Linked DNA regions of Notamacropus eugenii. The protein of the gene in region 1 interacts with the protein of each later gene in a pairwise test. Links are inferred from orthologs where the notes say so. Each region holds a gene or a part of one and is shown in the gene's direction. Other genes may lie near its edges.

Region 1 (16,164 bases):
AAAGACGAACACAAATGCAGTGTGGGAAACAGATAAGGGTCCTTACTGCTAGACCCTGAATTGGAAGCCTACAAATTTGCTTGTATTAACTGATCCCAGCCTGTAGGAGAGGTTGGAAATAAGAACGAGACCTTTAAATAGTAAAGCTCTCCAGCGTTATTTCATGAGATTTTTACTTTATACAGGTTGCTATCCACTTACCTTGTAGATTCAGTTGTAATTACTCTACATTTAGTGCATAATTCTTTTTTTAGAGGTTGCTGGCTTGCTGGGATTAAGGAAAAGTCATCACTCTGCCATCTTGCTTGGTAACATGATCTCTTAAATTTGTATGCCCCTCTAAAATAGAGGAGAGCTATGTTGTTTGGGAGTGAGGGTGGGAGTGACTGGTCATACATGGAAGGATCAGATGACCTAGGGTACATGAGACTGAATGACAGCTTTAAAAAAACAACAAACTGGCTCCATCTTCCACGTGACAGCACTTGAGACATTTGAGAACACTGATCCCGACCATCCTAATTCTTCACTTGGCTACACACTTCAGTTCCTTCTATTGTTCCTCATGGAGTATGACTTTGTAGCTCTTGTGTGGTGGGAGTATGGGATTTCAGGTACACTTGGGGACAACCACAGAAGCTCAACCACTTTCCACTGTTGGCTCATTCCATCATTAATTCTCTCTCTGAGTTCAAAGGCAGTCTAATAGGCAGACTTTAGAACATTCTCAGAAATTACCAAATTTGCAGAAGCTCTTTCTCTAACTGACCTGTCCCTCACCCCAGAGTAAAGCTGAGGAAATCTCTTGTTCCATAGTATAGTTTCCCCTCTTTCCATTTTAGATCATAAACTTATTAAAAAACTATTGTTAATGACCATGTAAATTATTAGCAGTATCAAGTAACATAAAGTACAAATTAACATTCAAACAAGGAATTTAGAAGACTAATATGTGATAGGTCTCATAGCCAAGGTCATTTGTTTTCCCCTAACTACAAATCCTAGTCATTTTGAGAAGGTTTCCAAAGAAAGGGATTGAGATCTAAATTCTGGGTGAAAATTTGCCTCAGTGTTGTGCTCCAGCAAAGCAGGGACAGAAAGGAGCTGTTCACTGGACTTTACTCTGACTACCAAACTACCACAATGGTCACAACTGCTTGTTTAGACCAAGTCTCAGCTTCAGTTCACTCTTACTACATGCTTGTTATCTTTGTGTTTGCTCTCTGGTCTGAACACTCTCACTTCCTTGCCTCCAATGCCTGTCTGTTACCCCCAGACTTGGGCAAAGTCCCTTCCTCAAGGCCACTGGAATCCCCAAACAAAATGAAGATTCCTGAAAGTCTGTGGAATAGTGTAGCCCAAGGATTCTCTATACCAGAAAGGTCCATCAAAGTGCCTGGCATCCTGGGCAAGCCCTCTGGTCTGTGTAAATCTGGGACTTACATCCTTGTTTTCTCTCAGACCCACGATAGAATGGATGGGAGATCACTTTGTAAAGTAGATAGCACTGGAGGGCTGTTTTTCTCAGTTGTTCATCACTGCATTGTATATGCACGGAGTTCACTTGACTCTGCTTCTCTAAGTAGGGGAAAGAACCCTGCAGTCAGGAGACCTGTGTTAAAATCCCATTTCCAACGCGGACCAACCATTTGTCCTATCTCACCACCAGGTGGCAGCAAATCAAGAGTTAATGCCTTGGGAGCTGGGGCCATTAACCCCTTCCTACCTGTTATCAACTATGGACCTGGATGTTCCATGGGGAAAGAAATGAGGCAAGAACAGGAAGACCTAACAGAGGTTAGGAAACACTAAGCCTCAGTCAAAAAGGGATGAGCCTGAAGTCAGAGAGTTGGTCAGTTGAAATGGAAGTCAGGCAATAGCAAACGCAGCTTGTAACCTTGAAAACAGTTGCTCACCTTTTTATATCACTTTTAAAGTTTGCAAAGTTTCTTTCTTACAATAACCTTGTTAAGTTATGAAGGAAAGAGTACTGGCTTTGAAGTCAGAAGACCTAGGTTCAAACCCAACCTTTAAAGTGTATGCTGCATCTATTTTAAAAAAAGTCCATCCATACCAGTATGTAGTTACAGAAATTTATTTTTATTAATGTGTTTTGTTTTTATATCACATTTATTTCTGGAAGTGTTTCCCTTCACTCTTATACCCAGAGAGCCCACCCTTATTTCTAGATTTTTTGCAAAGCATTTGAGAAAGTTTCTTGTGTTATCTTTTTGGGGAAAATGGAGAAATGTGGGCAAAATGGTATTTAGAATTGAAGATTAGTTTAGTATATTGGGTTAAATCAAAGAAGATAAAATTTAATTGGAATTAGTGTAAAGTCTTACACTTGGGTTCCAAAAATTCACATGGTATACTCCAGATTGATTGAGTGACTGGAATCCAGGAATAGGCATTTATGGTTTGATTTAAGCCTCCTAGAAGGTGCCACAGGGATCTGTAATTGAGCCCATTTTTATGAATGACTTTAATAAAGGCATAAAATCATATCCTCATCCCATTTGTTGATACAACAAAGGTGAGAGAAATAGCTTACACACTACTCAGAGAGTCAGGATCCAAAAAAATTTTGACAGTCTACTTACTGTCACTGTCATGCAAGGCACTGACCAAATCTAGTAAGACAAGATTTAATAGGAATAAATATAAAGCCCTTCTTTTGGACCCCGAAAATCTATTTTACAAGCATGAGTTGGGAGGCAGGGGATGAAACACACTTGGCTTGACAGCAGTTTGTCTGATCCAGAAATTTTATTGGACTTCAATGAGGGTGAACACTGTGATATAGCAGATGAGAAAGCTAATGGCATTTTGGCTACATTAAGGGAGATGTAGGAAGGTGATTAATAGTCTCATTACACTGCTCTCAGAGCTAACAAAAAACTGAGAACTCATCCAATCTAATATCCTCATTTCACAGAGAAACAGGGAAAATGACTTGCCTAAGGTCATCCAGTATATTAGTGATGGACCCTAGATGAAGATCCAGGGCCCTGGGATGAACCCTGACCCCTCTCCAGAACTCTTTCCCTTGCCTTACCCTGCTTTGCTTCTCCTAATATTACCAATTAAACTGCCTCAGTTACATACTTTCCTTCTAACTCAATACACTCATGCATAATTCCACAGAATTTATTAACTGATGCTGAGTGGAGTAAACAGAACCAGGAGAATACTCTACATGGTAACAGCAATGTTTTGACATGATCAACTATAACAGGCTTAAATCTTCTCAGCAATGCAAGGATGCAAGACAATTCCAAAAGACTCATGATGGAAAATGCCATCCACAACCCAGAGAAAGAGCTATGAAGTCTGAATGAAGATCAAAGCAGACTGTTATTCTTTTTTTATTTTTTTCTCATGGTTTTTCCCTTGGGTTCTAATTCTTCTTTACAACATGACTGATGTGGAAATATATTTAATATGATTGTACATGTATGGCCTATATAAGATTGCATCCCATCTTGGGGAGGGGGTGAGGAAGGAGAGAGAGAAAAGTTAAAACTTAAAATCTTATAAAAGTGAATGTTGAAAACGAAAAATAAATAAATTATAAAGATTAGTTCTCTCCCTAATGCAACACAGCAATGAGAGGTTGAATTTGAAAGGACAACAAAAAATTCACTGACACTTTGGTGTCCTATTCTGGTGTTCAAGAGGCCTGACTTGGGAATCTGGAAGCTTGGTTTTTGGTACAATACAACACACATTAAGTGAGTACCTGTTATATGCAAGGAAGGCAGCTGGAGTCTAGTCCTTAGTGAATGGGAAACTGGCTTTTGGAGTCAGGAAGATCTGATCAGTGATCTAGGCAATTCTGTAAGCCTTCAGAGCTGTGTGAATGGTCAAGGGAGTATCTGCTTCTGGGGGGCTCTATATAGCAATAAAATTACAGGTCCAGTTCTTATCTGAGCTACATGCAAGGCCCTGTGCTAGGTATTGGGGAAATAAAGATGTGTGGGACATAGGTCTTGTTTGCAATCTGATATAGCTATGATAAGAATTAGGAATTCAAAAAGGACCCACATGGACAAAAATATTTATAGCAGCTCTTTTTGTGGTGGCAAAGAATCAGAAATTCAGGGGATGCCCATCAATTGGAGAAAGGCTGAACAAGATGTGGTATATGAATGTAATGGAGTACTATTGTGCTATAAGAAATGATGAGTAGGTGGACTTCAGAAAATCCTGGGAAGACTTATGTGAACTGATGCTGAGTGAAGTGAGCAGAACCAGGAGGACATTGTACAAAGTAACGGTTACACTGTGTGACGACCAGCTTTGACAGACTTAACCCTTCTTAGCAATGTAAGGATCTAAGACAACTCCAAAAGACACAGGAGAGAAAATGTTACCCACATCCAGAGAAAGAACTAGGGAGTCTGAATGCAGATTGAAGCATAATATTTGCTCTCTTTTTTTTGTTTCTTCTTTCTTGTGGCTCCTCCCATTGGTTCTAATTCTTCTTTACAACATGATTAATGTGAAAATATGAAATGTATAAGTAGAGCCTATATCATATGGCATGCCATCTTGTGGTGGGAGGAAGGGAAAGAAATTTAGAACTCAAAATCTTATGGAAGTGAATATTGAAAACTAAAAATAAATAAATAAACAAATAAGCAAATAAATATTTTTTAAAAAGAATTTTAAAAAATTAGAAATTCACTAATGCTGAGGGTTTATAGGGCAGCTGGGTGGTGCATGGGGCCTGGAAGGGGTCAGGACCACTTGATTCAAATCCTGGCCTCAGACACACTTACTAGCTGTGTGACCCTGGGCAAGTCACTTAACCCTTATTTACCTCACTTTCCTCATCTGTAAAATAGCTGGAGAAGGAAATGATAAAGCACTCCAGCATCTTTTCCAGGAAAACCCCAAACAGAGTCATGAAGAGTGGGACACAACTGAAATGACTGAACAAGTGCCAAGGGGGGTTTTCAATCCCTTCGTGAGCCTGTGGATGATGCTACAGGTGAATGAGATTTTTAGAAATATCATCAAGTACTGGGGCTCCAAACACTAATGCCTGGAGAAGCTATTCTAGCTCTTTCAGTTCTTACTTAGCCTGGATGCTCCCCACTGGCAATTTCTCATTTGGTCTCCATACCCAGAACACATGAGAAGCTGGAGGTGTCCCTGACAGGTGACCACCTCGGTAAGTAACTTGGAGCATTCTTGCCTCCCTGAGCCTCAGTGTCCCCATCTCTAATATGGGACAACAACCTTGATCTTGAAGTCAAAAGATCTGAGTTCAAGTGGAGTCCTGACACTGACAATTGCTAGTTATGCGATCTTGAGTCAATCAGTTTCCCTGCTGAACCTCAATTCCTCAGGAATTGGACTAGGTCAATGATTCCCAATCTTTTTAACTTTGAGAAATTTAATGGAAATCCCTCCAACATGATAATAATTGTAACTTTGATTCATCGAATCAGAAAATATACAATACACAAAGAGCTACAATGAATTCAATGACATGTTTCAGTGAATTTGTATTTTATTAATCACAACAGTATCTACATATGTTTGAGAGATGGCAATAGATACAAGTGTGAGTCATTGTTTGTTCAATCTAAAGAAGGTCTGCTTGTTTATTAATTATCCTTATCAAACTTGCAGAGGAAACAAAGCTAGTGGGCAATATAATAGTTAATAAAAATCAGGTGGTGCAGTGGGTAGAGCACTGGGCCTCAAGACAGGAAGTTCTGAGTTCAAATTCAGCTACAAATACTAGACTAGGGCAAGTCTCTTAATCTCTACCAGCCTCAGTTTTCTCATCTGTGAAAGGGGGAATGATAATAATGGTGTTAATCAGAATTAGGTAGATGTTCTTTTGCCCTTTTCAGAGATTTGAAATTTGGTTGAATTGAAGAATGCTTCAGTCCTAGGTCTGGTTCCACCTTCAGTGGACCCCTTTGCAATTACCCTGTGGTTTCCAAGGTTCTGTAGCCAGGACTTGGGGAAACAAGTGGCCCTTTCAGCTCTCAGTTCTGTAATTTGTAGAACAGGGGAATACTTACACTATCTTCCTCACAAGATAATTGAGGAAAACAGTTTATAAATCTGAAATCCTACAGAAACATTCCTACGTTGATGATGATGATGATGGTATATGTGTGAGTATGGGTAGAAAACTTCCAGCATAGATATTCTCTCCATGCAGATGAGCAATTCGGGGTGCCCGATACTTCCACTCTCTCAGGGGAAGTAATACTAACATAATACATATTTATTTGTTTTCTGATTCTTCATGACCCAGTTCAGGTCTTGGCAAAGATACTGGAGTAGTGTTGCCTTCTCCAGCTATTTTACAGATGAGGAACTGAGGCAAAAAAAGGTTAAGTGACTTGCTTAGGGTTACACGGCTAATAAGTTTCTGAGGGGAGATTTGAAGTCAAGTCTGTAGGCCCAGGGGCTCTTTCCACTGTACCGCCTAGCTGCCCAATAATAGCATAATGAAATATGTATTTCTCTTCTTGATCTAAAGGAAGGCTAGCAGAATCTTGGGTGATCTCCCTGAGAAATCATAGAAGGCCACAGACAAGAGTTAGACAGGACCAGAAGACATGGATGCCTTGCCACTTGTACCTTTGGAGGGAGTACCCCACCACAGATTCGTGGTGTGCTGGGACATCTTTAATAACTGGCTCTGTCCAAAAGATGCACAGGACTCACTTTTAAGCTTAATTTGCATTATTCGCATTTTCTCCATCACTTTTAAAAGTTTCAACAACTGAAAAATAAATCAACACCTGATTTCTAGCATTTGCCATTTTTCACTCTGAAAATTTAACAATCAGCTTTACCTCCAGCTTGTGCCAGCATGGAGGTCTTTCTCCATATCAGCTCTGCATTGATATCCCGCCCGCACTGTACCCTGATGGCCTTAGGCCCTCTTGCTCCACCTTCCTTTACCATATAAAGAGAGCCAAACACACAATGGCTGAGACCCATGTGAAATCTTGTCATACTTAGCTCGTTAAATACAAAATCTGCCATTAGTTAATTAACTCAATAAACTTTTATTAAGCACCTACTATGCGCCAGACACTGTGCTAAGTGCTGGGGATATAAAGAGGCAAAAGACAGTTTCTGCCCCCAAGGAATTTACAGTCTAATGAGGGGGACAACATGCAAACAAATATATAGGAAGCAAGCGACACACAGAATAAACAGGAAATATTTACGAGAAGGAAAGCACTGCTATTAGGAGGGGTTAGGGAAAGATACAACAAACACTATTATTACTGTATTTTGCCACTAATAAGCAATTCCCATTTCTACAGGCTTTAAGGTTTACAAAAATCTGTCGAGGTGGTGAGTGGACGCATTATCAGTCCCATTTTGTAGGTGAGGAAACTGCAGCACAGAGAGAAATGACTTGCCCAAGGTCACAGAGTCAGACAGAGTGGGCTTGTTTGCTCTCTCCTGCCTCCAAGGCCGGTCCTCTTTCCATTACATACACTTTAGGGGCTCTTCCACTGTCCGAAGAAGCACAGATCTGAGGGTGGGTGGCATCCACAGAGAGGAGCCCACAGGTCCCCAGGGTCCACCAGAGGAAGAGGTCAGGTTTGCAGAAGAGAGGCAGGGAGAGGGAGGGATGCCTGGGCAGTGACGTCACGTGCCAGCCGGGAGATTCCCCTGTCTCTTGCGTCACCCTCACATTACGTCACCCCAAGCAAGCCCTCTCCCTTCCCCCTACTCCCTGTGGGCTTCGCTCACGTGTGTCTGTCCAGTTTCCCTCCTCCCCTCGGCCCCTCCTCCTCCTTGACTTAGTCCACTTACTTCAGGGGAGAAATTGGGGGAAGGGAGGCTCAGTCCTGACGCCCGCAGCCTCCAATGGGAGAGGCTGGGAGTTCTGGGGACGGGAGGCGGCGGCCGGTGGAGATGGAAGGAGGGGTGTGAGAGGGAGGGGAGGGGAGGGGAGAGGAGGAGGAGGAGGAGGAGGAGGAGGAGAAGGACTGGGCTCTGGAGCAGCTGACAATAGAGACGGCTAGAGAGAGGAGGAGGGGGAGGACGGGCAGCGAAAGAGGCGGCAGAAGGTAGGGGCTGCATTGTGGACTCACCCCCTCTCCCTCCCTCCCGCCTGGGACCCCGTGGGGAGAAGGCAGCCGAGAAAGGCGGGCGGGGGAGAAGAAGGGGCCGTCCGGGCAGCTGGGGAGAGAGAGCGAGAAGCGGCGGAGGGGCGGGCAAGAGGGAGAGAGAGAAGGTGGGAGGGAGAGAGAGGAGGAGAGGAGAGAGGGAGTGTAGGGGAAGCCAGGGGGAAGAAGGGAGGCAGAGAGACCGAGAGCGAGGGAGCGATCGAGGCAGAGAGGGAGGGATCCAGGGAGCGAGGGAGCGATCGAGGCAGAGAGGGAGCGATCCAGGCAGAGAGGGAGCGATCCAGGGAGCGAGGGAGCGGTCACGCAGAGAGGAGGAAAGGACAGAAGCCGGGCTTGCTGCGGGAGCGGCCCCAGCAGCTGGAGGAGCGAGTCTGAGAAGGTGAGTCCCGCGGCAGCGATGGGCGTGCTCGGCTCGGGGGTTCAGCTTTGTGCCGGCCGCCACTTGAAGCCCAGGGTGGATTCGGGTGGGTGCGGGGAGCCGACGTCCTGGGCACGGGGTGTGTGTGGGGACTGTCCTGCCCCTTTCCTTGGAGGAGGACCCCCACTCTGCTCCGGGCTGCTCTCCCTTTCCCCGCCGTCCTCACCCGCAGCTCGGCAGCTCGGTGACTGGCGGGGGTGGGGGAGTCTTCTCCATCTCCGGACAAGTTCCCCCCAGGCTGAGGATGGGACCGGAGCTGGGGGAGGGGCGCCAGGTGAGTTGGCTGCGGACTAGACGGTGGGGATGGGGTGGTGGAGTGAAGCGGAGTTCGGACTGAAGGTAGAAAGTTTGGAGCATGGGCGGGTCGGGGGCAGGCTCGGCGGGGCAGCCACCCTTAACCCAGGTTCCCGGATCGGCTGCCCTGGGCTGGCCCAACAAAGACCGTCTGGCCCCTTGGGGTCCTTGCCCGGCGGCTAGCTCCGGCTGGGACGGAGTGTGGAGCCTGCGGGGGAGGGGCAGCAAAGCCCCGTGGGGGGCTGGGTCTGCCCTGGGGGTTGGGGAGCATCTTTTTGCTGGCTGCAGGGAGGGGGTGGGGGCGGGGAGTCGGGCGCAGGTACAGGTTTGGCGACTTCCTCCAACTTTGCTTTTCTTGAGTGACAGACTCTGCGATTCTGCGAGGTTTAATCCAATACGTTTGGACTCCCCTGAGTATTATCCATCAGTCAGTCAGCGAACAGTTACTAAATCCTTACTTTGTGCCAGGTGCTGTGCTAAGCGCTGAGGACAGAAAAAGAAGCAAAAGACAGCTGCTGCCCTCAGGGAACTCACAGTTTGATGGGGGAGACAAGAAGCAAATAAATGTGAACAAACAAGCGATAAGTAGGAAATCATCAGAAGAGAGGGGGGACTGGAATTAAGAGGGGCTGGCCAAGGTTTCCTGCAGAGGATGGGATTTTAGTTTGGACTGAAAAGAAGCCAGGAGAGCCCAGGGAAGCATGCTTTTTGCCGAAGTAACCCGGCTCAGGTAGGCCCAGGAGTCATCTCCTGGGGTAAGAGCGGAAAGGGGCCCCAGAACTAGCCTCCTCCCTTCACCGAGGTGGAAACTGTGGCCCATGGAGGTTCTAAGAAAGAAAGCACTGCTACCAAGTGGCTTAACTGGAATTAGAATCCAGACCCTCAGAGGCCAAACTCCACATCTTTTTGAGGGCTCCTCTTTGTCTTACAAAACCTAATCTAGTTTTTGCTTCAGTAAATATTTATTAAGTACTATATACGAAGTCCTGTATCAAGCCTTAGGATTCCCAGGGAGGGAAAACGTTCACTTTTCTGTCATCCCTTAAAATTGACTAAGAGCTTTCCTCACAAAAACCCTGTGATATGGAAACTAAGTTGTATTATCTCCATTTTACAGTTGAAGAAACTGAGGTGCAAACAGGTAAAAGTTATTTGTCTAGGGACTGGAATCCAGGTCTTCTGACCAGTGCCCTTTTCACTGTGCCTTGCAGATCCTAGAAGTGACAGGGTCCTTACCCTCAAGGAGAGGCAGCTTGGAGTCGGGGGATGTGGTGCTGAAGTTGGAGTCAGGAAGACCTGGATTCAGATCTACCTTCCTGTCTGTGTGATTATGAAGAAGTCATCTCACCTCTTTGAGCCTCATTTTTCTCATCTGTAAAATGGGACAATTTTAACCTGTCAAACCTACTTTACAGGGGATCAAGTGAAATAATGTAGGTGAAGGGCTTCAATTAAAATGTTATACAAATGGCAGTTATAAAATCTCATCTGCTAGGGGAGATACACCATGCATAGAATAATTCAAGCTATAAAGAAAGGACAAATCAGTCCACAAGTGAGCACCTACTATGTGCCAGGCACTGTGAATACAAAGACAAAAGCCATCCCTCCCCCCAAAGCAAAGGCCTTGCCTTCAAGGAGCTTAAATTTCTGCCAGGAGAAACAACCTGTATGTTTAAGTATACACACGTATATGTGTATGTATGTATGTATGTGTATATGTATACATATGTGTGTATATACATGTGTGTATATATGTGTATGTATATATACATACACATATATATGCATACACATAAACTATAAAGTTAGGAGAGGAAGAAGGCACTAAGAGCCTTTGGCAAGTATTTGCCAGGTGTTTAGTGATTCCAGGATGGGTGAGTAGGCAGAACACTCCAGGAATGGGGGAGAGCAGGTGCAAAGGCAGGAGATGGGATGTCATGAATAGGCCGTAACTGGCAAGCACCAGGAAAGGTGGGTTGGAGTCAGATTGTGAAGGACTCTAAATGCTAAACAGAGCATTTTTTTCTGGAAGCAATAGAGAGCACCTGGAAGTTTAAGTAGGGAAGTGCCTGGGGTCAGATCTGTGCTTTAAGAATACCATTTTGGCATCTGTGCAGAAGATGAGTTGGAGAGGGGAGAGACCAGTAAGGAGACCATTGTAATAATTTAGGAATGAGGTGATTAAGGCAATGAATTATGGTGGCAGCCATGTTAGTAAAGGGAAGGGGATGAATTCAAGAGATTGTGGAGGTAGCATCTCTAAGGGGACATTTAGGTGGCCCAGTGGATAGAGTTTGGAACCTGGAGTCAGGAAGACTCCTCTTGAAGAGTTCAAATTTGACTTACTAGCTATATGACCTTGGGCTACTCACTTAATCCTGTGTGCCTCAGTTTCCTTATTGGTTAAATGAGCTAAAGAAGAAAATGGCAAACCAGTCCAGTAATTCTGTCAAGAAAACCCCAAATGGGGTCACTAAGAGTCAGACAGGACTGAGCAACAACAACCACTAGCGTAAGACTGGCAGCTGATTAGATAGACATTGGTTGGGGGGGGAATGTGGGGAGCAGGAAGGGGAGGAAAGGCAGATTGGGAAGTTAAAGGTGAGTCCGGGGTTGCAAAGTTGGGTTTCTGTGGAAGGATAGCTGGGGTTCAAGGGCAGAGAGGAGGAGGAAGGCAATGAGTTCTCATTCGAGTATGTTGAATTTGAAATACTAATGAGACATCCAGTTCAAAAAGTCCACTAGACAGTGGATGATGTAGACCGGAGTTCAGGAGAGATTAATGCTGGATATGTAGATTTGGGAGTCCTTTGCATAGACATAATAGTTGAAGCATGACAGCTTTTAGTGCATCTTTTTGCCTGCCTTCATGTCCTGCTCTTAGGGTGGGTGCACCCCAGAGCAAGGGTGTAGTGGATAGAGTACTGGGCCTTGAATGAGGGGAACCAGAGTTCAAATGTGGCCTTTTACTAACTGAGTGACCCTGGGCCAGTCAACTTCTGTTTCAGTTTCCTCAACAGTAAAACAGGAATAATATATAAAGAAACCTAAATATGTATAAATCACTTAGAGTGGCAGACACAGTATATACTTAATAAATGCTTGTTTCCTTTGTTCCTAAGTTCTGTGTTGGGCCCTATTCTGAGTACTTTCCTTCCTATCCTGCCCTCAGGGGTGTGTGTGTGTCTGTGTCTGTGTGTGTGTGTCTGTGTGTGTGTCTGTGTGTATCTGTGTGGCTCTGTGTCTGTGTCTATGTTCATGAGCTAGTATAGGTGGTCATTAAGAGATGGTAATGAAATCCATGGGAATTGAAATAGTATAGAGGGGAAAAGAGGGCTGGAACAGACCCAATGGCCAAAGACCACCTTGGGGACACCTACCTTTGAGGCGGAACTGGAAAGAGGCTGAAAGAGGGGTCTAGGAGAAATCCCTTTCAGCTAGAAGGGGAAGGGTGGCAATCTGGGAAGGCTTCTTTTTGGAAGAGGCAACTGCCCCAGATCTTGAAGGGTTTGTTCTTGGCTAAGTTGGGGGAAATGGGACAGGGTGGGATGAGATTCAGGAACAGCAATTTCCCGAGGAGGCTACCTCACCCCTACTGAAGAACAGTCAATTAAATGTTTTTTGAATTGTGAAAAACATCAAGATGCTAAGAACTCAGGCTTTAATCTCAACTCTGCTCTATACACTGTCCTTATGACCCTTAGAGCCTCAGTCTCCTTCTCTGTAGAAAAAAGATCGCAATCTCCCCCCCTCTCCCCTTTCCCAAAGTTTCTCTTCTAGGCCTGGTGGGAGGATGGAATGAGATAATAGCTGGGTGTGGTCCCTGGGGTAGTGAAGTATGCAACACAGCTATCAAAAAGCTGAGGGAGGAGAGTAATCAGAATTATTTGATTTTCCTACTAAAAGGCAGCGTTCTTTCTGATACCCTCAGCTTGCATATTTTAACACTAAATATCACAGGGTAACTTTATGGTACAATATTAACACATAGGGAGATAGTCTGTATGGCTATGTGGTTATCGGATGTCTAGGTAGAGTGACTGGCTTCTATTTTTGTTTAACTGTCTGAAGAGCTACTTTCTTTCCTTTTTTCTCTGGAGGCAATGGGGGTTAAATGACTTGCCCAGGATCGCACAGCTATCAATGTCAGATTTTGGATTTGAACTCAGGTCCTCCTGATTCCAGGGCTGATGATCTATCTACTTCTACACCTAGCTGTGCCCCTTGTTTTATTTCTCGAACAGAGAGATGATGGTGCTGTAGTGGCAGGAGCAGGAAATCTAGCATGAGAAGACCTGGGTTTGAATCCTGACTGTCACTTATTGTTTGTATGACTTTGGTCGAGTCACTTTCTGTCTCTGGGCCTCAGTTTCCTCCCTTGTAAAATAAGGAGGATGAGCCTGATGATCCCTGAGATTTCTTCCAGACCAGATTCCAAGCGTCCTATGATAGCAAAGGAAAGAGTTTCTATTGTGGTCGTGTACACTAATTCAAAGTTAAGTTAACCAGTCAATGAATATTTATTTAATGTTAGAAGTAGGTGCTTATCTACTGCTTGCTACTCTCTGGGGATGCAATTAAGAAAAAAGAAGTCCCTACCCGCATGGAGTTTACAATTTAATGGATGAGACACTAGCAAACAAATGTACATGGAACCATGTATAACTGAGGGCAGGCACTAGAATTAAGAGGAGTTGGGAGAGGATTCCAGTAAAGGAAGGAAGCCAGGGAGGTCATTTGGTAGAGTGGAGGAGGGAGAGCATTCCAAGCACAAGAGATGGATGGAAGGTCTTGATTGGAGAACAGTCAGGAGGCCAGTATCTCTGGATCTGAGTACATGGCAGGGAGTAGGAGACTGGAAAGGTAGAAGGGGGCTAGATTATGAATGCCTTTGAGTGATAGGTGGAGGATTTTGTGTTTGATCCTGAAGGCAATAGGGAGTTGAGAGAGTTTATTGAATAGAAGTTGACTTTATTTTAGGAAGATCACAAAAGATGTGGCTGAATGGAGGATGGATTGCAGTGGAGAGACCCTGGAGGCAGTTAGATCCACCAGCAGGCTTTTGTAATAGTCCAGGTGTAAGGTGTTGAGGACCTACCTGCACCTGAGTCGGGACAGGGTCAGAGGACAGATGGGGGCAGATGTTGTTAAGATGAAATCAACAGGCCTTGGCAACAGCTTGGATATTGAGAAGATAGTGAGGAATTTAGAATGACTCCTAGGTTGTGAGCCTGTGAGACTTATAGGTTGGTGTTATCTTCATGTATTTTTCACTTGTATAATGCCTATTGTTTCTTGGATAGAGTGTAAACTCCTTGAGGGCAGTATCTGTTTCATTTCTGTCTTTGTATCTCCATTGTGTAACACACTCTAGGCACTTAAAAAATGCTTATTGGTTGATTGATACAGGATTTGAACTCAGGTTTCCTGACTCCGAATTTTACTAGGGAAAATTGCTATTCAAATACCCTAGAGAGGAACTATGCTTTGAGATCGTGCAACCCAGTTTTGAAAGCCTAGATAAGCACCCACGCTTTTGTGTTTGAGCCTCTGAGCCCAAAGCTACCTCCGCTTCTCCTGTGGTTTTTGCCTCTTTAGTGCTTCTGATGTTAATGCCATACAAGGACCTACTTGACTCCACACTGGGGCCAAGAGAAGCTCTACCGGATGCAGTCCTTTTAATACCTTCTGTCTCTTTTCTCTTTCACTTTTCTTTTGCATCTGATGAAACTTTCCACAGTTTCCACCCCCCCCCCCCCCTTACTTGGCTTCTCTCTCGAAGAGGTGTCCCATTCTTCCTGAGGCTGGAAGATATATTCTGGTCCTTTCTCTTTCTGAACCCCTAACCTCTCTTGTTAAGACTATATCATTTAGATAAATAATCTTTTTTCAGACACTGGATTGTCAGTGAAGGAGGTGGAAATAAAAATATGGGGAGAACCAACAACCTTACTTTCCCCCTTCCCAGCAATCTGTGCTGTTGGTTTTGTTAAATTTCACCTAACTTCATCCCCTTAAACCAGTAGGAACAGAAAAATTCCAACTTCTGTACAATAAAGACAGAACTTTGAAGTTCTTATAAAAAAGAAAGAAAAAAGAGACTTTTTGCCTCCTGCTTGTTTAGGACCATAAAATGTATGAACTGGAACCAGGCGAAGTGCTGGAGGCAGCTCTTGTGGCTGCTGATTAAGTTTTCAGCGTGAGCATTTACTCCTCAGAAACTGGCAAATGCAGGCCCCCTCTTAATTTCATGCTTAAACTCTCGAAATAGTCTATTGGTAGGTCTGTCACCTCACCACCCCAGGCCATCCCCCAGTTAGCTGTCAAACTGAACTTCTTAAGCACAGGTCTGACCAGATTTGATTTTATACAAATCAAAATTTAATTTTTTTTAATTGAAAGCAATGGAAAAATGTTCATAATAATGATGATGATGACAATCACTAACATTTTTATTATGCTTACTATGTTCTAGGTACTGTGCTAAGCCCTTTACAATTATTACCTCATTTGATGACTACACTTAAAAATGGGTCATGTGTATATTTTTCCCCCAGAGATCTAGTTATTAAACATTTGCCAACACACCACCGGCTGGGACAGCCCTTACAATATAGAATGTTAGAGTTTAGGATGTCAGAGCTGGTAGAAACCTTAGGGATTAGCTCCTCAGCCCAACCTCCTTGTTTTAGAGGAGGAAATGGAAGTCAAGAGAAGAAGTGACTTTCCTCATTAGATGGTTAGTGGTGAAGCTGATGCAGGATCCTATCCTAATGCTTTCCCTTCCACCATTTTCCCCTCATTGGCTTGTGTGGTCAAGTTGCCAATTTCCAGATTGCCTCTTGCTTCCTGATGGTTAACCTTCAAATTTTTGACTTAAAAAGAGCCCCAGACCAAAATTCAAATGGTGGGGGGAGAGGTTATTGTATTACCTTGGATAATGCACTTGAACCCTCAAGTCCAGATTTTCTCATCTGTAAAATTATGATGTCCGCTCCCTAGGATTCGTCCTACTCCCTAGTTATTTTTGATTTTGTGACTCTGAGACTCAGTCAGCCATTATTTAGAGTTAAACTGTGTCTAGTACTTTGCTACAGATACAAGGAAAGACAAAAACACAGTCCCTACCCTGTGCAACTCACATTCTCCTGGGGGGAGGCAACATATATACAGTGTAAATGAATGCAGTCTTTGAGGGAAGGGACTACCGGAGAGCTGAGGAAAAGCTTCATTTAGAAATTGGGATTTAATGTGAATCTTGAAAAAAGCTAGGGAATCTAGGAATTGGAGATGAGTTAGGAGAGCATTCCAAGCCTGGGAGAC
Region 2 (16,561 bases), on another chromosome or scaffold:
GGTCACTAATGGTGCCATCTTTGACCATGGTATAGAGTTAGGCTACACAAAGAGCAAATTCAGAACTTTGATCTTTTTAGCAAAGCTATCTAGCCAAGAAAGCAATTGTGGTGCCCTGAAAGGGAAGACAGAATGATTCAGTAGAAAGAGCATAGATCTTAAGGTGCTAAGGAAGCAGCATGAGGTCCTTTGCAGTTCTAAATCTACAATCAACCTAAATGGCACTGGATTTGAAAAAAGAACAGTTGGAATCAAATTCTGGCTCTGTCCTTTGCCAAACTGTACCTTTGGGCAAGTCATTTAACGTGTTGTGCCTTTAGTTTCTTCAAAAGTTAAATGGCAATAATGATATTCAATTTTTAGGGTTATTCTGACGCTCAAATTCAATTATGGATACAAAGAATTTCATGAATTATAAAATGCTAAAGATACAAACTATTATAGTAGTGATGGGGTGATAAGTAAAGTTGTTTGACCCTTCCTGTTTGATTCCCATACACATCTACTACTGATTCAGTATCAATATGGGTTTCCCAGTATAAATGCTCCTTCTCTGCTCTTGGAAGTTGTAACAAAAGGATCCATTATTCTCTCTATATTTTTGCTGTTGTTGCTCTGAGTCCCCCCTTAGAGATAGTGCTATGGCATCACTTCAGTGTTACATCTATCTATTTCTCTTCTCTAAGGGTGTTTCTCTGTCAATTACCTCCTCCCAACTATATGCCCAATAAGGACACTCAGAAATGTAAACAGATTTTCGCAATGTTCAGAGGGAAAGGTTTCAGTCTTCCATGAGGCAATCCAGGATGAAATAATAGACATAGAGTTATCACCTTGGGGTTCTGTAGTCAAGAGTAGAAGAATTTTAGCAACACCTGTCCCAACACTCCTCAGGCCTGATCGGTTCACAGAACGGCATTTCTATAATAATCCTGGTCCCATTCCTTGTGGTAGCCACCTCTGCCTATGCTTCCATTTTCCTAGTGTCATGCAGTTTCATGTAACCTCCCCTTCTCCAATTCTCATTTGGAGCTGCACTTCACCCTAAACTGACTCATTGTCAGACTATTGCACTGTCTTTGAAAAGTCACCTAGAGATATGTGTCCAGTCATTGTTTAAATAATGGTGTCATTCTCTTTCTAAACTGTTCAATGCACTTATTTTACCTCATAAAAGTAATATCTGGCATGCATGGCTGCACCTTTAATATAAAACCTTGGGTCTCTTTTCTATGATTGGGTCTGTGAAAGAGCAACTCCTCTATGTTTTCCCTGTAGTTAAATATTTGCTGTCACAGAAAATCAGCTATATGCTTATGCATATTCATCTCAAACCCTGGGTATCTCTCTTAGTGACTACAGGTCTAAACTATATGCAAGACATGAACATGCCCCAGAAATGCATAGAAATCCATACCAGAAAATGTACATTAAAAGCAAATGAATATCATAAGTAAGTTTATATAATAACAGAACATATATAAACAACAATGGACATGCAAATAGAGGAAATATGATGTACAGCCAATGAGCAAACATAGGAGCAAACATATACAGTAATTACCACATGAATCTTTGAGTAGATACAATAATATACAAGGCAAATTTACATAAATAAACATTAATATTACAATTTGGCTGTTTGTGTAACACTTCTCCAGTTTCCCCTAGGTTAGATGGACCACAAATCAAATCAAATAGATGTATGTCTCTTAATACTTTCATCGACTAGTGCGCTCTCTCTCGCTCTCTCTCTCTCTCTCTCTCTCTCTCTCTCTGTGTCTCTCTCTCTCTCTCTTTCTCTCTCTCTCTCTCTCTCTCTCTCTCCCCCTCTCATTAGTCTTCTCCCTCAGTCATCAGAAGTAGGAATCTGGCAGTAGCTCCTACAAATGTCTGATACTGAGAACCCGTGGCATCAATAGTCCAAGACACTTTGAACTCTTATCATGATGTAACAGTTCACTTTGAACCATTAAAAAAAAAATTTAGCATGTATGGAGTGTTCAGATAGGACTAGCACCTCTGGTGTGAGGGCTTCCCAAGCCCCTTTCAGGGCTGCTTATTCACCTTTGGTACCCACCTGTCACCCAACTCATACCTGTGACTCCAAGAAGCTGTAACTTACACAGCAGTCACACCCCAGCAAAATCATCTTGGCAGATAATCTAAACCAAGTGGAGGGAAACTGATAGGTCTAAATCCCATTGATGAGTTAGGTGCATATCTACCCCAAACATATGAAGCCTCCCCAGCAGAATGAGTATATGAGAACAATTAGCTCCAATGACCATGAAGGCAGCTAAAGCAGGCATTATGAGGTGCTTAGAACTTGATCAGACATGGAAAATGCTAAGGTCATCCACTGCATCCCAGGCCATCACCAGTCCTCCTGACTTTGTCTTGCCACTGAATTTTGATGACTCTGGAAGAGAGAGTAAGGCTGATGATTTTGTGCAACTCAGCCTCACATCCAATTCATATAAAAGTTTTCATTCTGTGAGGTTTTTAGTTCTCTTGGAAAATGAAAAACAAGAAAAATATTGATACACATAAGGCTGCTGGATTCTGTGATGGTACAGTGGGTCTCTGGGGACTGTTTCTGTGATCATCCATTACAAAGTAATCTTCTGACATTGTTCCTAGAACATCCAGGAGTTGGAGAGATGGGTCTCATGAGTAACTCATTAGATGTATCTCCTATTCCACTCACTCAGCAAAAACACATCTGTCCCTTAGATAAAATTTGCCTCAAATAATTCTTCCATTTTCCTGGTAGTAGAGAATCATCACAGTCAAATATTTCAGTATCTATTTCTGAAGATGAAGAGTCAATGTTCTGATAATATTCACTGTCACTACTTGCTTCAGTTCTCTTGTAGGTCTCTGCAAAGGCTACATGAAAAGTCAAAGTGGGAAGGAAATTGATCACAGCTCGTGCTAATTTTGACCTAACAATTTACAGCAAGAAAACATAGGTGCTCCATCAGCCACCACCAAACTGTCCATATGTGGAACCATTGGTGACAACAAAGTGAAAAGTTTTGAATATGGTGGCTAAATTCACTTACCTTGGCAGTGTACTTTCTAGGGATGTACATATTGATAATGACGTTGAAGCACGTATTGCCACAGCTAGCACAGTGTTTGAGAGGCTATAAAGGAAAGGATGAGAAAAAAGAGGTATTAGACTGACTAACAAACTGAAGGTCTACAGAGCCGTTGTGCTGACCTCATTGTTATATGCTTGTGAAACATGGACAGTTTACCAGCACCATGCTAGGAAAATAAATTGCTTCCATGAGGTCCTTACTTGAACTAAAATGTCAAGCATTCAAACTCTGCTTCAGAGAGCACAACTCTGATGTGCTGGCCATGTTGTTTGAATGCAAAATATATGATTGCCAAAAAGACTATTTTATGGAGAACTCAGACAGGGCAAGGGTTCACATGGTGGTCAGAAGAAGTGATACAAGGACACTCTCAAGGTGTCTCTTAAGAACTTTGGAATTGTGTGACATGGGAGACACTGGCACAGGACCCTTTAGCATGGCATGCCCACATCAGAGAAGATGCTGTGCTCTATGAGCAAAGCAGAATTGAAACAGCTCAAAGGAAATTTAGAGTATCCACCCCAAATGTTCACACAGACTATTTGTATCCAATCTGTGATAAAGCATTCTGAGCTCATATTTGTCTGATCAGCCACAGCCAGACACATTGAAACTTGACTCTAGCATAGTGATGTCATTTTGATCCTCTTTGAGAATGAAGGACAACAAACAATTCTCTACAGTATACTGGTGGCATCATAAGTAAACTGCAGGTCATTCCAATCAGAACTAAAACAACAAAGATTTTTTCTGAGTCTAGACATATCAGAGCAAAGGTATTCAATTTTTTATTGAGTGCAGGTAATTTGATGTCACAGAAAAAATATATTTGAGTGAAATTTGACCCCCAGAAGGATGACTTAGGTCCAATTTGGGTTTCCCATTATATGTCTAAAAAAGAAGATTCACAGCTAAATTTGAGCTTCAGGCCTACTGTAGGGTACACCAATGGGTCTATGAAGTATTACAAGGAACACAATTGCTTTGGCCCAAATCTACTTCTCTGTGATACCCACCCTTTTGGTATCTAGAAATGGGCCAATATCACTGAGTCTGAACCCAGAGAAGCCCCTTGAAGAGAGAAATTGAAGAAGAATGTGAACATCTATGCCAGCTGTCTGACTTCTGTGTCAGACTTTTGAACGCAAGTGCAGAAGCAGAAGACAAAAGGGTAGTATGTCACCTCTAGTGGCATCCTATCAAAACTGGAAGCAACTATGAGGTGATTAGTATTCCAGGCAAAAATATATGATAGGTGTTTGGAGAGGTTCAAATGAAGCCAAAACTCAGAGAGAGAAGTCACTAAGGAAACTGATTCCTCTGAAACCCCAGAAAAACTGCAACTACAACTTCTCTCACAACCTAGGCAAGTATGTATAAAGTGAAACAGGTCAGACAGCCTCATCATTGTGTATGACATGAAAAAACAAATAATTTTGGAGGACAACTATGAGTACAAGATATAAGTCATAACAACTGTCCTCACTGTGCTAAGAGGAAAATAAAGCAGTCACCTGTTCCATGATATGTTAATAAGTGACCCTGAGTATTATTTCCAGTGTTGTTCAGTTCTTTCAGTCATGTCCAACTCTTCATGACCCCATTTGGGTTTTTCTTGGCAAAGATACTGGATTGGTTCTGCATTTCCTTCTCCATCTCATTTGACAGATGAGGAAACTGAGACCAACATGGTTAAGTGACTTGCTCCAGGTCACACAGTTAGTGAGTGTCTGAGGCCAGATTTGAACTCATGAAGATAAGTCTTCCTGACTTCAGGCCTGACACTCTATCTACTGTGCCACCTAGCTATCTTTGGGTAAAGGAAGTCTGACTAATTAGTTATTCTTCTGGTTTTTAAAGTAAGCTAGCTTAGTAACAATCATATTCCCTATCATTCTCTTAAAGAAAATTGCTATTATAGTGACTAAAGATTAACTCCAAAAGATTAATGTTGAAATGGTACACATAATTCAGTCTAAAGAGAACCTCATAAATCAGCATGCTGACCTTTTCAGGCCAAAATATTAACAAGTGTATAATGCTTTGCTATTTGTCATAGTTTCTTCCACAGTATGATACCAAAACCAGGAAAAAAAAAGAGTATTTATAGGTTCTAACAAGAACACATATACATATCTTTGTACATACATATATGCATACAAATGTATTTATAATTTATACATGAACCTAAAAGAAAATCTAAATTAAAAATTAAATTTCAAATAAAAGTACAGAATGATAAGATATCTGAACTCTTTTCTGAAGTCATCCTGTGAGTTCTATTTATTTTCCCACATGAGATCAAGCACATTAGCTGCATGTTGAGAGAAAGGAGGCATCATTTAGCAAACTCCAGCAGATCTCCACATGAACTACCAATTTGTTCAGGAGTAGTAGAGGCCCAGGTTCACCTGAAGAGAAGATTAAATCCTTATAATTTGATTTCCATCCTCACCACTTTACTGAAACAGCTTTCTCTAAGGCAGGTCTGTGCAACATACACCCCATGGGCTTCCACCAAAGTATTTCCATGGCCTACAAAAATGTAGAGGATGTCAAAGAAAATAAAGATATAACAAGTGCTTTGTCTGTGCCTTGCTTAACCCACCTTCCACTAGTCACTCCTGTGTCTGTCATGTAACATGGCAGGCGGGTTGCCACTGTGCACTTTCTCCTGTTTGTCATGTGATCCACAGTAACCAACCATCCTTAATCTGTCTCTTGTCTAAGAGAAGTGATTTCATGATAAATAAAAACCTTAATAAGTATAATTTATTGATATTAATTGAAATTTCCCTTTTTAATATGGTCTATTTGCAAAATAGTTCAATTATTAATTATACCTTTACTTGGAAAGTGAGCCACTACTAGTCTATTTTTAATTTTAGTCCCTACCTATTTCCAAGTTGTGCAGATGTGATCCAAGGTTACCAATGAATGATCTTTTAATTGCCGAATACAATTACCTTTTGTTAGTCCACATACTTTTTGATATCTCTGCAACATTACACTGAAGGATACTCCTTCCTGAGTTTTAATAATACTGCTCAATCCTGGCTCTTCATTGACCATGGCTGCTCAGTTTTCTTGGCTGGATCCTCATCCATATCTATTCTCTCTCTCTCTCTCTCTCTCTCTCTCTCTCTCTCTCTCTCTCTCTCTCTCTCTCTCTCTCTCTCTCTCTCTCTCTCTCTCTCCCTCTCCCTCTCCCTCTCTTTCTTTCTCTCCCTCCCTCCCTCTCTCTCCCTCGCTCTCCTTTTGTCTCTGTGTCTGTGTCTCTCCATGTCTATCTCTCTGAGTCTCTGTTCTCTCTCCCTCTCTGTCTCTATCTCTCTATCTCACTGGTTCCATGGATTCAAATATCATCTCTGTGCATCTCCAAAGTTGACATATCCTGCCCTAGTCTTTCTCCTGAGCTTCAGGCTCATATCACCAACTCTGTGTTGGAGTTGGTGGTGTGAGCTCTCCAATCTTCACCTGGATGTCCCATTGACATCTCAAACTCATTATTTTTTACCCCAAATTTATTCACCTCCTAAATTCCCTGTTCCTGGTAAGGGTACAAGTTTCATTCCAGATGTTGAGGTTAACAACCCTGGAGTCATCCTATTCTCTTTACTCATACCCACCTCCCCTCAATCATGCTGATACAACCTCCACAGCATTTCCACATTCATTCCCTTTTCTCCCTTTGAGTAACCACTACCCCAGTTCAAGCCCTCATCACCTCCCACAATATTCTCCTAACTGGTCTCCTTGCCTTCAGTTTCTTCTTTCTCTAATCCATCCTCCACATGGTTGACAAATTGACAATCCTAAAGCATGTATCACTCCCCTGCTCAAAAAGTTCCAGTGACTCCCTGTTTTTTCTAGACTCAAATACAAACTCTTGCGGCATTTAAAGCCCTTTACGATCTACTCTCAATCTGTCTTCAGAAAATGATTTCACACATTTTCCCCTCATGAACTCTCTGTTCCAGCAAAATCGGCCAACTTATGGTTCCCTAAATGAGACATTCCATCTTCTAAATGTGCATTACATTGACTGTTTCCCATGGTCAAAATGCTCTTCCTTCTCCTCTCTAGTCCTTGGTCCTTTCAATCAATTAACAGTTATTAAGTGCCTACTATGTGCCAGGCAAATGCTAGGTCCTATAAAGTCTTTCCTGATCCCTTTCCTCACCCCTAGTTGTTAAGATTGTATCCCACTGCCCCCCAAAATAACTTTATATTTATTTTGCACATGTTTTGCATTTGACTATCAATGTGTGCTGAAGGAATATAATCTCGTCGAGGTCAGGAAATGTTTCCTTTTCATTTTTCTCTTCCCTAACATTTAGCACGGCTCCTGCACTAAATAAATGTTTATTGTATCTAACTGTATCCAGAATCAATGTGCCAAAGCAAAATCTTAACATGTGAAATTTGAAATGATCCAAAACCCACTTTCCAAATGTGTTAAATGAGCATGACACACATGTTCATTATTCACTAATAAGGAGAAGTAAATGCCAACTACTTTTCAGATGAGTTCAGCTGAATGATCTATTTCATATGTGTGATTATAAAACTTTATATCTGTAAGATGTTTTAATTTCTAAAGCGAGTGTGGCAATTTATAAAGTTGGTTTACATACACACACACACACACACACACACACACACACACACACACACACACACACACACACACTACTGGAGGGGAAAATGAAGTTTTCCTTCAAAACATTTACATCCCTAGAGAGTTTTCTTCTTTATGGCAAGGGAGAGGAAAAGTTTAAGGTTTCTAAGTTGAGTGCCTAAAGAACTGCCCCTTTTTAACTTGCCAAGCTTTTCAGGATAAGTCAGTACTGGGGTGATGTCATCTCTTATCTCATGCTGGATGGTGTGGTTCTCTCACGCTTAATTAAGCTGATTCCCTTGTTTTTTGTATAGACGGCACTCCCCACCCTGCCTGTTCTCATCAGTTTCTTTTCAGCCAGCAGAGTGAGCAGTCCCCTTCCAGCAGTGGAAGAAAGAGGAAGTGTCTCAACTTCTGGCCACAGTGGGACCTCTAGTGTTGATTCTCTGTCCTGGCACAGTCCTCCGAAGTACAAACACACAGACTGCTCATTGTTTGGAACCCTTCACCAACCCACTCATCCTAATATGGAATGCAGCAGGAAACCCATGATTTCCTGACACTTAGCAAGCTGGAGAAAGAAAGGAAAAACTCCATTTGAAAAAAAAAATCCCGGCTTTCCTCCATGTTAGATGTGAAATGGAAAATGGGAAGGATTTAGAAGAAATCCCTGGTGTCTCCAGCCAAGTTGAAGAAAGAGAGGAAAGAGAGAAAGCTTCAGGCTTCTATCTTTCAAGATCACAGTAAACACCCAGATCTCTAGGAAAATGAGGGTGTCTTGATTCAAACGACAGGGGAAAGACAAGCTATTATATTTTTTTCTTTAAAAGTGGACATTCCCTTTCTTTCCCAGCATGGTAAAGTGAGCGGGCAAACAGCAGCAACCTGGAAAATGTTAATTCTGAGCCAAGAGTACCCAGCTAAGTGAGGGTAAACAAACCTGGGCGCTCACTCGGGTTTCTCTTCATGCGCTCCTAGAAGAACTTGGAGAATCAGGAATAGCCCCAGATAAGAATGAACTGCAAAGAGGAACAAGGGCAAAGTGGCTGCCCCAGCGAGGAGGACGTGAAAAAACCCCTAAAGTGTGTGGTGGTCGGAGATGGTGCAGTAGGGAAAACCTGCTTACTGATGAGTTACGCCAATGACGCCTTCCCGGAGGAGTACGTGCCTACCGTGTTTGACCACTACGCAGGTAAGGACAACTTTGGGGGACTTGCGGAAAATATACAGTGACCATCACTGTGCTCAAATAATCGCAAAGGGGGGAAAATGTTCTTTATTCAAACAAGTGTATTTCAGTCACTCTTCTGTTTAATAACTAACTGATGACAAGTTTTAAGGAAGAGGAGAAAGGAAACAGACAAATTCTCAAAGTAGAGTTAAAGAGACCAGGCTTACTTCTCGGATGGTTAGGAGAGTCAGGAAAGTTAGTAAGCCAGATTCTTTAGTCTGATGAACCAAGGAGCATTAGTAAATCGATTTATGTCACTTTATTTAAATTTTAAGCAACTATATATATATATGTATATGGAAAAATTAACCTAAATTCTCCTTTGAGTTCTTAGGCTGTAGCCATAAGTTTGAAGGGTCATTTGTTTTTAAATGGGATCCTTTAAAAACAACATTATTTCGGCAGCATTTCACACACCTACACCCCCCAAAAAAACTTTTGTCTTTTGCATTAAAACCTTCACCTAGCAACTTTTTTTCAAGTGATATATGTGCGAGTGTAAAAAACTTTGCAAACTTTAAACCATATTATAAATGATATCCATAATATACTGTATCATTCAAATGTGTCTGTGGATGTTATGCAAAAATTTATGAACACTATCACTGAATGAGCTTATGTTTTTATCAAAGCCAGCAGCAACCCAGTCATGTGAATTGGTGTATGATAAGAATAAAAAGGTTTTTATAGTTATCATCTAACTACCACATATCTTGAAGCAAAAGAAATTTTTTTTTATTAATAGTCACATGGCATATTAAAAAGAGCATTGCTTTTCAAGTCAGAGGACTTGTGTTCAACTCTTGCCCCTGCCCTTTATTACCAAAGTGACTTAAGCAAGTCATTTAACTCTGGAACCTAATTTCGCCTTCTGAGCAACTGTACTAGATGTCCCCAAAGTCCTTTCTAAATCTAAATCTATTGGTCCTACAATAACAGCCTAGAATATCCAATGGGAAAAAGCAGAGCAGATCAATTCAAAATAATGGACAATCTATTAAACACAAGATACTGTGTAGTGCATAAAAGAATTACAAAGCGATGTCAGGTGCAAGGTTGTATAATGGAAAGAGTACTGGATTTAGAACCGAAAGTCCTAGATTCTGATTTTGGTTCTGCCACTTACTTCCTGTGTGCCCTTGGCAAGGTGTTCAATTTCTGTAGGCCTCCAATCTCTCATCTAAATGCTCCAATCTCTAATCTAAAACTCCTTCCACTTCTAAATCTATATTCTGGAACTACTTGAGTCAAAAATGTCATTGTTTTAACTGATTTATGCTTTCTAGGATGTTCTGAAGTGAGGGTATGAACAGTCCATTGAATTAGAAATGACTACAATGTTATTTAAACTTTTACATTCAGACATTTACTAATTCTCATGATTTAGTATTCTGTAGCAGATCATAGGATCTAGGATTTGAGAACTTCGAGAAACCTTAGATCTCATTAGACCCTTCAAAAGCAGATTAGCAAAAAACCTTCAAACTGTATTCCTTAAGATGCTATTTCTGAACAATATTCTCATGATCACATCTTTTCGGAGATTTGGGATTTTGCAATAGGAAAAAATTTATCTATGTGCACCTTGGCTTTGGGTCAGGTTTAGTAAAAGGGAAATAGCCAACAGGAAACCTGAGTAATTGTTCAGTTTGCTCCATGACCAACTGAAGCCCTCTTTCCATAGGAAGTACCCTCTTTTCTAGAAATAAACAATCACCTAAGTCACCTCCTCCACCTCCATTTATGTGACTTATGGTCTGTATTATGCAGAAGATGAAAACAACACATTCCTCCCCAGTCCCATCTCCCCAAAGCCGCAGTGAAAATAACTGGCCACTCTCCAAGAGTACTCTTGCTATGTTTGCAAAAACCTAAAAGCAAATTTTGTTCATGTTTCCTCTAAGCCCTTTCTGAAAGCATAGTTACTGTGCATGACCCCCAAAAACACTTTAACAAGAATAGCATACAGAAAAGAGTAAGTACATTATCATCTTGATAATGTAAGTAATTTTAACAAATTGTGTTCCTAAGCCTTGCCATGTGTCTATAGAAAGTTACTCACACTCCAGACTCCACTAAACTGAGGCAAACTTCCTTTCTGCTGCAAAGAAGACCCCAAAATGATAAGAATTTTTTTCCGGAAAGCTACAAAATAAAGTAAGAACCCAGTCACCGAGGAAAGAGACTCCAGTCTTTATAAAAATCATATCTAAATGCCAAGCTACTATCCCAACCATATTTCAAAATAAACTGGAGCTGAGGCAAAAAAGAGAGAGATACTTTTGAGAAGTAGAAATGGGCAAAGAAATATAAGGTTACATTTCATTAGGATATAATGATCCTATGCCCTATCTATAGAATCTATAATGATTTGAAACTCTGTATCTGGAGTCAGAGAGACCTGAGTTCAAATCCAGACTCAGACACTTATTAGTTATGTGACCCTGGGCAAATCCACCTCCATCTGCCACAGTTTCCACATCTGTAAAACAGGAATGATAATAATAGCAACTATGAAGATAGAATAATATTTGAAAAGTGATTTATAAACTATAAAGTGGTATATAGATTAATTAATGATAATATTATTATGCATGGCATAGTCATATTAGGCTTTCTGAAGGGGTTTGGTTACTGTTCGTTTACACATCTACAAAGCATGTCCACCTCTAAAATGATATATAGCACCTAGCACAGCTTCTTACACATAACTTTTGTTGTTGTTTAGTTGTTTTCAGTAATGTCCAAATCTTTGTGACCTCTTTTGGGGTTTTCTTGGCAAAGATACTTGAGTGATTTGCCATATCCTTCTCCAGCTCATTTTACAGATAAGCAAATTGAGGCAAACAGGATGAAATGACCTCCCTAAGGTCATAGAACTAGTAAGTGTCACATACTATCCTTGAATTCAGGCTCTCATGACTCTTGGCCCAACACTCTATCCACTGTGCCACCTAGCTTCCCCGTTACACATAAGGCTCAATAAATATGTCTCCTTTAAAATACGTTAGACTTTCAAGCATATTTGTGAACGAATGGCACTAACTCAAGTAAAAAGAATTAACAAATCTAAAGTATAAGAGACAACTTCAAATCCCACCTCTGGCCACCTTGGACAAGCTATTTAACTTAATGTGTTAGTGACTTCATCCATAAAATGAGAGCTTGGACTAGATAACCCTAAGGTTCCTTCTCATTCTACAACTTTGATCTATGATGATGATGGGGAAGGAAATGCAGTGTATAGTTGTAAAGATAGTCTTATACTACCAAAAGCCCATGAGACACTGATTGCCAGTACTAGACTGTAAACTTCATGGCAGCAGAAATTTATTTCATCTTGGAAACTCAGCTACTCTTGCACAATATTAACTTCACTTTAAATTATAAAGCAAAATTCCATACAACATTTGGGAGTATGGAAAGATATTACAAAATCAGAAAACAATAGGGTGTCACCCAAAAGGATTTGAAGCCATTGCCGTAGGGATGAGAAAATAATTCCATGAATACTGTCGTTAAAATGTCATTATCCCCTGTATGCCAGAATAAAGATGTTTCTCCTACCACCACCCATATGTCTTCACTTAGAATGTGAACTGGAAGAGAGTGTGTGATTATGGAATGAAAGATGCTGAAGGAAATGGGCATAAGGTGGAACACATAGACTGTCAGTCATTAGAAAGATTTTATTAGTGGTGATTATTAGACCTGAAAAATGGGTGCATAGGGAAATAGGGAAGTCTATGGACTCTCCAATTCAGATGTCCTTTAAAAATGGATTTTGAAAGATATTTTAATTATGGAACTATCTGTTAGCAGTTGCATAACTTCCCAATGCCTCTTCTCATTCTGAGGCCAAAACTACCCCTTTCTCTGGGGAGCATTCTTATTTTCTAAGGAAACTATCTAAGTATAGGGTTTCTGTTTTTGTACTTGAGTCAGACATGAATTAATTCTTTGATTATAAGGTGGAGGTGGTTGAAGAAGCTGGCAGGCCAAGATATATAATCCATTCCATAAACCTGAAATAATATGACTAGAATTTATTAATTACCCATACACTACATAATACAAAGTAAAATAAATTTCCAAAGTAAATTTCTGATCCACACATTTCCCTCCCACTTTATCTAGTTAGACTTAGTGGAAACTTCCAGGTCACTCATAGAATGAATGAATACCAGAAAGATTCTTCTTTCCTTTCAATATCAATTTCTACCCACCTATGATCTGACTGAGAATGAATCTTTATGCAAAGTCATACGAGATATTTTACCTCATCACAGAATAATGTTAGACGTTTCAATGACTTGGAAACAATATTCACTCTCTGATTGCGATCAACTTATTGATTCTCTTTGATGAAATCATCTTCGGTTCAAATGTTCACTATATTCTGGGTCACTGAAAACTTCTAGTTTAGTGATAAAAAAAAATCACCAAGCAGTGCCACCCTTCTAAATCCTATTAGTCCTCAACTAAATTGAGATGTTGGCAGAGTGGAGTAGATGCTAGGTGTAGGGCTCCTCATCTTAAGGAGATCTCCAGCACCTTATTAACATTTGTTTAACTGAAAAGGGATTAAATGTTGTGTCACCCACAGTCTAAGTTAAGAGAAAATAGAATTCCTTTAAAATATTCCATAGGAGATATAAACAAGTTCATGTATGCTATGAAATAATTTGATTGCCAACAAATTTGTTCTGTCTTCATAGAATGAATCAGAATTTTAATTGGGTAATAAATAAAAGTTCTGCATAGATAACTAGAAATACCATACAAATAGCAATACTGAAGTAGGCTAAAAAAAAACAAGGCAAGAGAAATCTTATGGGCCTTGCCTGGTAATCCTTTCTCACTACATATCTTTATAAGGTTTCACCCATCAACCAGTTCATATGTTGTATAAATTTATAATTCTGCTTATGTTATGATGAAGTTGGAGAGATGGTACAAAAGTAATTTCAATAATTAATTATTTTAAATTTTACTTTTAAAAGGGAAAAGATAATATTACCTCTTTGTACCCATTACTGGTGCTACATCTGTCCCCACTAACTCCTGTGAACCTGTACTGCAGTGGAAAATCTACCAAATAATGTGACTCCACTGTGGATGAAGGCAAGCAAAGGGTAGCCTTAAGAATCCACTAGATTTCTACCAAGAGCAAACTAATTTCAAAGTCAAAACCTATTTGCCAAAGCACCAGACAATCTGAGCCTTTAGACAGAGTTAAAAGAAAAAAGAAACTCCTAGTTTTTATTTATGCAAAAATATTTTATTTATACAAAATAATTTTCTGACCCCATTGGGTTTCAAACTAGAGTAGGGCTGACAATGAAACTGAGTAGAAATGGACTGATGTGGAAACTGTTTTCCATATGGTCTCCAAGTGTGATCTCAATATACAGCTCTGACTGCAACTCTATGCACTTCCAAGGGGAGTATAAGCTGTCAATATGAACTTCAAAGCATTTTCTAGTTTTATCAAGGTCATATATCTTTTCACATACTACCCTAGCTTTGAATTTCTCGGTAGATATTTCACTATTGAAGAATCCTCAATCAATTAATGTCAGGCATGATACAAACCTCATCTGGTTTCATTTCTGTTTTGAGTTTAATTTTTGCTAGATTCTTTCAAGTAACCTAAATTCTTACCAACCAAAGTTCATATACTGCTTACTTAAATAGCTATATTAATTGATCTGCATTTTAAAATTGGTTTTACTTCAAAGTCTGCCTTTCTTCCACATTGACTTCTCTCCTTAAACATGCACTTGAGATTCTCTGTCATAAGTCATCTAACTTGGAAACTTACTGTAGGAACATACTTGACCAACTCAAATCTTACTCTCTCCATAATGTAACAGAACTTTTATATTTTAGATATTTAAGTCTAAAATTTGGCACATAGTTTGAGTGTAGTAATTCTGAGTAACAGTAGGGATGAATCCAATTGAGTGTCTGAACTAAGTTCAGCCTTAAAATGGTGAACTCTGGGAAGCAGACAGCCATCAGGCTACCTAAAGAGGGGCAAACTGGAAGACGGCAGAGTAGAAGTAGGGACCTACCTGAGCCCTCCACCCAAACCCTTCAAAATACCTGTAAAAATTACTCTAAATAAATTCTAGAGCAGCAGAAGCCACAAAATGACACAGTGAAACAGATTTCTAGCTCAAGACAATCTGGAAGGCCAATAGGAAGGACTTATTGCACTGGGCTTGGAGCAAAGCATAGCCCAGCATGGATCACACCAGCACAGACAGAACTGGAGCAGTCCTCAGGGCCACTGAATCACTGGCAGCTGTAGCAGTTTTCAGACTTCTCAACCCACAAACATGATAAATAGCTTCCAAGGTCACTGGGAAAGCTCTCTCACCTTGGTGAGAAAGGAACATGGTCCAGGTCCAGCCCCAGGGTGCAGCAGTGGCTGCTTCTAGAACTCTTGGCCTACAGATGGTGGGAGAATTGAGCAGCTGATCTGGGTCACAGTCCTAGGCGTTGGCCCTGGGGCAAGGAGGAGTGCTAGTCAGGCAGAGCTGGTGGCAGCTGTAGAGAGGCAATCCTACTCATGCTTCCATGGCAGAAAAAAGTGCTTGTGGTTGTTCACAGACCAGAGTATAGGCCAGGAGAGGAGTAACACCTTTCCTTTGATCATACCACTTTGGAGGAACTGAGAATTTACAGGTCCCTAGAGATATCTCTGAAAACAGCTGCACAAAACCCCTAAAACTTGGGGCAGTACATCCTCCATTTAACAAAGAGCTGAAAAGTCAAGTAGTTGGCTGGGAAAATGACCAAAAAAGGGGAAAATAAGACTGTAGAAGATTACTTTCTTGGTGAAAATGTATTTTCTTACAACAAGGAAGATCAAAGCATACAACCACAGGAAGACAACAAGGTCAAGGCTCTTACATCCAAAGCCTCAAAGAAAAATATGAAATAGTCTCAGGCCATGGAAGAGCTCAAAAAGAATTTTGAATATCAAGTAAGAGTAGAGGAAAAAGTGGGAAGAGAAATGAGAGTGAGGCAAGAAAATCATGAAAAACAAGTCAACAGCTTGCTAAAAGAGACCCAAAAAATGCTGAAGAAAATAACACCTTTAAAATAAGATTAACTCAAATGGCAAAATAGATCCAAGAAGCCAATGAGGAAAAGAGTGCCTTAAGCAGAATTAGTCAAATGAAAAAAGGAGGTTCAAAAGCTCACTGAAGAAAATAATTCCTTAAAAATTAGAATGGAGCAAATGGAAGCAAATGACTTCATGAGAAATCAAGAAATTATAAAACAGAACCAAAAGAATGAAAAAATGGACGACAATGTGAAATATCTCATTGGAAAAAAAACTGACAGAATAATAGATCTAGGAGAGATAATTTTAAAATTATTGGTCTACCTGAAAGCCATGATCAACAAAAATTTCAAAAAATTATCAAGGAAAACTGCCCTGATATTCTACAACCAGAGGGTGAAATAGAAATGAAAAGAATTCACTAATCACCTCCTGAAAGGGATTCCAAAAGAAAAACTCCTAGGAATACTATTGCCAAATTCCAGAGCTTCTAGGTCAAGTAGAAAATATTACGAGCAACC

The links.
Region 2: the proteins of PAK1 (region 1) and RHOJ interact in binary tests that used the Homo sapiens proteins (3 or more experiments, as listed by UniProt). The link is inferred for Notamacropus eugenii from reciprocal best matches to the Homo sapiens genes PAK1 and RHOJ.

What each region holds. Positions count from the first base shown.
Region 1 is NC_092876.1:125,963,734-125,979,897, forward strand, and holds the start of PAK1 (serine/threonine-protein kinase PAK 1), read left to right. Parts: upstream 1-7,952; 5' UTR 7,953-8,066; exon of another isoform or gene 8,067-8,505; intron 8,506-16,164. UniProt on the Homo sapiens protein: Protein kinase involved in intracellular signaling pathways downstream of integrins and receptor-type kinases that plays an important role in cytoskeleton dynamics, in cell adhesion, migration, proliferation, apoptosis, mitosis, and in vesicle-mediated transport processes.
Region 2 is NC_092872.1:307,059,368-307,075,928, forward strand, and holds the start of RHOJ (rho-related GTP-binding protein RhoJ), read left to right. Parts: upstream 1-8,263; 5' UTR 8,264-8,745; coding exon 8,746-8,923; intron 8,924-16,561.